Arabidopsis thaliana: one gene and its partner. The protein of the gene in region 1 interacts with the protein of each later gene in a pairwise test. Each region holds a gene or a part of one and is shown in the gene's direction. Other genes may lie near its edges.

Region 1 (3,755 bases):
TGTTGCAGAACGCGGTTTAATTTTGATTTGTTTTCTTAGACCTTAGCTAATAAATACCGTGTCTTTGTCTCTTTGTTCTGTTGATCAATTTAGGGACCAATGGAAGATTTGATAAGCCAATTGCCCAATGAGTTGCTGCAAGAGATACTCTTGAATCTTCCCACGAGTGAGTCTGTTAGGACAAGTGTCTTACCGACAAGATGGAGAAATCTCTGGCAAAGTGTTCCTGGTTTGTACCTAATTTCTCGACAGATTCTTAAATTTGTAAACTTGCGGTTAGAATATGTAATTCTGGATGATTTTGATAGTTGTGAGTCTTTCTATCTACCTCACCTTGAGGTTATGCATTTAGGGTTTCGCAGTACACCGAGTGATGTGGTTCTAGAGATGCTTATCTCGTGCTCTCCTGTTCTTCAAGTCTTGAGCATTTGTGATGTTGGAGTTGACTTTTTGAAAGTGCGATCTCAGACGTTAAGGAGCTTGAGTCTATGGACATTTATCTTTAAGGGAGAAAATGATGATGTCTCCTTGGGTGATGATGGAGAATCTGGACTTGTGATTGACACTCCTAGCTTAGAGTTTCTGCGTATCAGAGATTTTCCATTGGAAGACTTCAGAGTGGAAAGTGTTATTTCTTCTATCAAGATGTGTATCGATGTACGGTTTTATGGGGAGATGACTTTTCAAACACGCAAACTTTGCACAAGTTTTTTGCTGAGTTCTCGGAGGTCACAGATCTTAGCATCTCTGGCCATACTCTAGATGCATGTATTTGTTCTTACCAAGTGTTGGTTCTTGACAGGGAACCTATGCTTACACAAAACTGCAACAACTGCCTGAATTCAAGAACTTGACCCGTTTGTACGCTTTTCTCCATACCGACTATTCAGAGATGTTGCCTATATATCTCTCCAGCAGTCCCAACCTAAAATCTATTGACTTGGTAATGATTCCTTCTCTTGGTATTGAGAGTAGCGAGTGACTATATATATTATACATGTCTTATGGTGTTTTCCTTTGTAGGAGCTTCATGGTTATCCAAAGATGGAGGAAATTGCAAGCTCACCAGTGCCAAAATGTCTCCAAACATCCATTGAGAATGTCAAAATAAAAATGACGCCCAAGGCTGACCAAGAGAAAAGCCGAAAAGCTGAAACCGAGGTTGCTAACTACATCTTAGAGAATGCAACACTTCTGAAGCTCACTCTATGGTTAGATGATGAAGAAGAAGACGAGTCTAGCAGCGTCCTTGAGAAAATTCTCACCTTTCAAAATTACTCTTTTGTAGAGGTGAAGATAGGTCGAGAAGCATCGAAATTTCGCCTAGGTTATACATTTGATGAAGCTAAGCACTTTAGTCGTCGTTTTCTTTAAATCTCTTATGATCAATCTAATTAGCCCTTTTGGTCGTGGTCAGGATTTAAAGAAAGTTGTTTCTATCACTTGAAAATTCTCCACTAACTTGATGAGAATATGTGTGATGGAATCGATCTAGCGAACATATACTAATCAAAAGGACATGCCTAAAATGGGACCCTCTTTGCACAAAAGAAGTTTCAAGATATTATTATACCCACAAAACCAAATCTTCTTTAATCATGTCTAAATCATTTTAGGCACTCTTAACAAAACAATAATGTTATCATCCAATTTGTCTACACTTTGGTATTGATTCGTTACAAGTGAATGTTCTAGACCACGTTTGTTGATCTATTATGTAGTTTTGTATTCATCCTAGCTACATTTATATATATCCACTTATTTCTTAACTACGGTATGCATTATACATGTTTGTATTAATGTCGCCGATAAAAGTTTCGGACCCATAGTGATGAATAATCATTCTCGATTATTATTGTTAAATAAAACACTACAAGGAATAAGATAGATCAAAAACGAAAGCTCCTTTGAAAACAATCTCAAAGAACAAGAAAATATGAGAAGACTCTTTCTCTTCTCTCTCCTCTTTTTATTCTTTTACTCATCCTCCTCCTCAAGATCTTCATCAGAATCTCACATCTTCATCTACGGAGGATGTTCACCGGAAAAATACACACCAAACACACCTTTTGAGTCAAACCGCGACACTTTCCTCTCCTCTGTCGTCACTTCCTCCTCTGACGCGTCCTTCAACAGCTTTGCCGTCGGCAACGACTCCTCCTCCTCCTCATCCTCTTCCGCCGTCTTCGGCCTCTATCAATGCCGTGACGATCTCCGATCATCAGACTGCTCAAAATGCATCCAAACCTCAGTCGATCAAATCACTCTCATTTGTCCTTACTCTTACGGCGCTTCTCTCCAGCTCGAAGGCTGCTTCTTACGTTACGAAACAAACGATTTTCTAGGGAAACCAGACACAAGTCTTAGGTACAAGAAGTGTAGTTCCAAGAGCGTTGAGAATGACTACGATTTCTTTAAGCGGAGAGACGATGTGTTGTCGGATCTTGAGTCGACTCAACTCGGTTACAAAGTTAGCCGGTCCGGTTTAGTCGAAGGTTATGCTCAGTGTGTTGGTGACTTGAGTCCTAGTGACTGTACGGCTTGTCTTGCCGAGTCTGTCGGAAAATTAAAGAATCTTTGTGGCTCGGCGGTTGCAGCTGAGGTTTACTTGGCTCAGTGCTATGCTCGTTATTGGGGCTCTGGTTACTATGACTTCTCTTCAGGTCAGTCCATAAATTAAAATCTTTATTTCATTTATTAGCTATTGCTCTAATTTACGTAAGTTCTTTAATTATATTCGTGAATCATGCTTAGTGCCATGATAATATAATTGAAAATTGTAGTAATGAACTGTATAGAAATGTGTGAGAATTTGACAAAATTTAAATTTCCGCCGCTTATAATTGAGAAAATCACAAGTCTAGTCGCTCCTTGGTAGCACGAGAAAGTTGAAGAAATCATAAAATTTTCGTTGCTTTTTTTTTTTTGTAATTTCCACTGGAAAGACACCATTAAGTATTGAATAAAATAGAATTAATCTTTTGAATCATTCGTTGGAAAATTCGAGTATCATGATTATAATATCATTGGTCAGAAAAGAATGTTTTTGCAATATATTATTCTTTTCTTTATAGGCATAGCCACCCATGTCCCCATTTTCAACTTTATTTTATATATTCTTTATAGCTTGATCAATATCACATAGTCCAAAAGTCATTGCATCTTAGAAAATCTAATTCTTAGCTTGATACTATATTGTCCTTATCTTATGTACTTTAATTTGTCACATACAATATTAAGATCTTTTTAAATTTGATCTAATTTTCGTTATTAAGATCCAACGAATGGAGATCACGTGGGGAAATCAATCGCGATCATCGTAGGAGTCATTGCTGGATTCGCAATTCTTGTTGTTCTCCTCTCCCTTTGTAGAAACTCCATGCGTAAGTCTATACTTACTTGCCTAATCTTCACATGATTAAGATTTAAGATCAAATCACTCATTTTTAGTATATATTTAGAAATAAGTATCATGATCTCATAATTTTTCTTATCTGATTTGCAGATTGATATAATGAAAGGCATGATTCGGGATACAAGATTCTAGGGACCTGTTTTTTTTTTTTTGAACTCTCTTGTATTCCACTATTCCTTTTATTTTGTAGGAGGAACACATCCGTTACCGTTCCTTGCTGAAATTTTTGGTTTATCAAAAGGAAAACTATTAGTGACTGATGATATAATGATTTTTAGCTTTGAGGTATTAAATATTTGTATAGTGTGACCCGTATTGTCTGCCTTAAAAAGATGCTAAC
Region 2 (3,564 bases), on another chromosome or scaffold:
TACAAGTACACAATATTTAGATTGAATGGTATAAGCTCGACGAAGTTGTCTGCTTCACATCTTTACCACCGAACAATCCTTTCCCCAAAACCCAACCTTCAATCATATCCCTTGAATTCACAGCTTTATCTGTCGGAACAAAATGACCAGCTCCTGTAACCGCCACGTGGCACAAATTCCCCCATCTCTGAACATAACCAGCGACCACACCGTCTTCATCCTTCCACACACGCCTCTCCGCCGTCGAGAACATTCCCAATCCTGACCAGTTCATAGTCTTCATCCACTCCTCCGTCGAAACGACGCCGTCTCTTAGATCAAGCATACCTTGATACAGCAAGACTTGAGTCCTCTCCAATGCGTACTCCACCATGAACTTTACGCTCTTCATCACGTCTGCCCGCAACACATCTTCTACTTCATCACTACATTCCTCAAAACGAACCGTTTCACTCACTCCCAAAACACGTTTTGCTTCTCTCTGGTTCAAGAGGTCCACCACGAGGTCTGTTCTGTATGGAATCGCCCGTGCCGTGTTGTAGAGCGTCGCGAGTCCTGTCATGTTACTTAGTAGCGTCAACAGTTCGGTCCTCGCGTCTGCTGCTTCACGCCATTTCTGGGACTTCACGAGAGCTACAGATATCTCCTGCGCTTTTTGCAGTTCAACTCTCTGTTTTGCGTTGACCAGACCCGAGTAGTAGACGTTGACCGCATGGGTTTGAACCTGGGTCACCGGGTCGGTCAGCCCGTTTCCAATGGCTAGCCCCTTTAGATTCACTTTCCCATTGGGTTTCTCTTTAAGGATATAGTATCCAATGGCTGGAACGTACTTCCCGGCGTAGCTCTCTCCAGTGAAGTAAACCGGTCGGTTTTCGAAGCTTGGGTTTTGTTCAAGGAACTCCACGAGAGCGGCGTAAAGATGCTCAGCGACCTGTCTCTGATTTGTGGGTATGTCTTGTTGTGAGGCTGCGATGCTGAATCCGACTCCTATTGGGTTATCCACAAAAAGTAGTCCGAATAGACGGTTCCATGCGCCGGGGTTGCGCTCGAGGTCTGTGGCGCGTGAAACTACACGCCAGGGACCGAGCTCGTAAAAGTTGCCAATCATTGAAGAGCAGCCTGGCCCACCTTGGAGCCAAACGAGGAGCGGAGTGTCAGGAAGAGGTGTGGTTGGCTCTTGGGCTTCGTAGAAGGCATAGAACATGGACGAGCCGGGTGCGGGTTTAACCGGGAGGTAGCCAGATTTAGTGGGGAGAGCTTCATCGGGAAATAGCGGTGGCTGAGGAGACTCAACGGAGACGGCGAGGAGGAGAGTGGAAAGCAATATGAAGAGTGTAGTGGCTTGCTCCATTATTTCCACTAATTGGTGACGCCTTTACATAAAGATCCCTTTGTATTATTTCATTTATTTCATTATTTGACTGCAAAACATTACGTTTATGTTTTGTCTTGTATAACATGTGAATTTTTAAATGTGTAACAATAACATTTTTGTCAAGACGTGCTTGCTTACTAACCTAATTGCATTAACATGTGAGTTTTTTAATTTAAAGGTTTTTGTTTGTAGATGATTTTCCATAATGTATATTATTTTAAATTTATTGTTGCCAAAAGAAATAAAATCTAAAAGTTTTATTGGGCCGAAAAGAGAAAAAGGTCAGATAGGCCCATAAAAAGTTGGACAATACAAAGCGTTTACAATTTGTCAATTGCAAATTTCGTGAGATGCTTCTTCTACTCGTCATCTCTGTTTGGTAAAGTGATCACAAGGTGTTCGATATAATACCTGAAAGAGTTTCCGAAGGTGTGAAGATGATGATCTTGGATGTTTGCTCAGAGGTTATAAAGATCCAGAAGCTACGACGGGCTGTCTCTTACGCCGGATTCTACTGCTTCACTGCTGCCCTCACATTCTTCTATACAAACAACACGTAATGTCTTTCGTCCGATCTCAGTTTGCTTCTTTTGGTTGTTCTTTCTTTTCAATATCGGAATTCGCAGATGATTTCAATTTCTGGGTTCTTCTCTTGGTTTCTGCTTCAGGTTTAATTTGATTTAATGTTACTGATTCGAATGTTGTGTAGAACAAGAGCAGGATATTCCAGGGGAGATCAGTTTTATGCATCTTACCCTGCTGGCACCGAACTTTTGACCGACACAGCTAAGGTTTGTCCTTGATGACAATTTTGAGTTGTCGTTTACAGTTTATATAGTTGATTAGTTCTGTGTGGAACTGATGATTGGGGTTTATTGGAGTAAAGCTGTACAAAGCGGCGCTTGGGAATTGCTATGAATCTGAAGATTGGGGTCCTGTTGAATTCTGCATAATGGCTAAGCATTTTGATCGCCAGGGAAAATCTCCATACGTTTACCACTCCGTAAGTTTCTTCAATCTCTTTATGATAATCTCTGTGGTGCGGATATTTTAGTGTTGTAAAGGTCAGTTTCCATAAGTCTAGAATCTTGATGGTACTGACTTTGTGGTGCCATTGATAGAAATGTTTGTCGAATCATGTGGGGTTAGAACCAAGAATTGAGCTCATTTTATTGTGAATGCAGCAATACATGGCTCACCTTCTATCTCAAGGCCAACTCGATGGAAGTGGCTAGTGGCGCCAGCTCTCTTTGTTTCAGCTTTGTGCCTAATCTTGTTATAGCAAATTCGAATCCTGGTATCTTGGAACATTTGTATGGTGTTTGTATAAGTCCGGAACCGTACCATTGGCTTACATGGATTATTCAGATTTGTACTCTGAAAATTAAGAGCATGTAATTCCCGCAGAGGCACAATGTAATAAACATATAGCATAGCAAAGCAACAATCCGGGGAAAAACTTTGGTTACCACCTTGAAAGAAATGGGGAAAACTGACAGAGCAAGAAGCTTTCCATCATCAGCAGAGACGTTTGATAAAAGAAAGGTCAAGATTTCATTCCACGAAAAATCTGCCGAAAATAAACATCTCATTCTGGATGTGGTATATGAAATGGGATTGTACATGGAGTTTGAAAAACTTGGCAAAGAGAATCATGGAAGGAACTAACCATTTGAGCTGCAAGGTCATACAACACTTCCAAGAATTTATTTAGACAAACACAAATGCGACTGGTTTTTTTTAATGAGTGAGGCCCATTAAAGAAATAGTATGATATTATAGGCCCAAACAATCCCAAAACCCTTGGCCTTTTTCTGTCGCGCTAAACCCTACGATCTAGAACCTTCCGTCTTATGTGTCTCTGCCCCAAATTAAAAACTCAGAAACCCTAGAAAATTCCGATTCATCAACTGAGAGAGAAGAAGAATTGAGAAATGATGAAGCGTCTGATCCCAACGTTCAACCGCATCTTGGTGCAGAGAGTCATCCAGCCCGCTAAAACCGAAAGCGGCATTCTCCTACCTGAGAAATCCTCCAAGGTAAAAGAGCTTTGATTTCACGATTTGATTCTTCTGATTTTCGCCTCTTAGATCTGAAAAATAAACATATTTTTGGGTGATTGCAGCTGAACTCAGGCAAGGTGATAGCTGTTGGACCTGGATCAAGGGATAAGGACGGGAAATTGATTC

What was found. Proteins that work in one complex are often made in the same cells at the same time.
Region 2: the proteins of PDLP8 (region 1) and AT1G14990 interact in a protein complementation assay, tested with the Arabidopsis thaliana proteins (one large-scale study listed by BioGRID).

The regions. Positions count from the first base shown.
Region 1 is NC_003074.8:22,440,099-22,443,853, forward strand, and holds the start of PDLP8 (plasmodesmata-located protein 8), read left to right. Parts: upstream 1-1,672; 5' UTR 1,673-1,936; coding exon 1,937-2,663; coding exon of another isoform or gene 2,664-2,680; exon of another isoform or gene 2,681-3,275; coding exon 3,276-3,418; 3' UTR 3,419-3,505; coding exon of another isoform or gene 3,506-3,510; 3' UTR 3,511-3,755. Other genes in the region: AT3G60710 (F-box family protein), read left to right, coding at 100-275, 363-657, 803-943, 1,024-1,374. UniProt on the Arabidopsis thaliana protein: Modulates cell-to-cell trafficking.
Region 2 is NC_003070.9:5,166,400-5,169,963, reverse strand, and holds AT1G14990 (uncharacterized protein), read left to right. Parts: upstream 1-1,699; 5' UTR 1,700-1,812; coding exon 1,813-1,931; intron 1,932-2,084; coding exon 2,085-2,166; intron 2,167-2,261; coding exon 2,262-2,378; intron 2,379-2,439; coding exon 2,440-2,469; intron 2,470-2,559; coding exon 2,560-2,610; 3' UTR 2,611-2,933; downstream 2,934-3,564. Other genes in the region: scpl50 (serine carboxypeptidase-like 50), read right to left, coding at 17-1,351; CPN10 (chaperonin 10), read left to right, coding at 3,310-3,414, 3,501-3,564.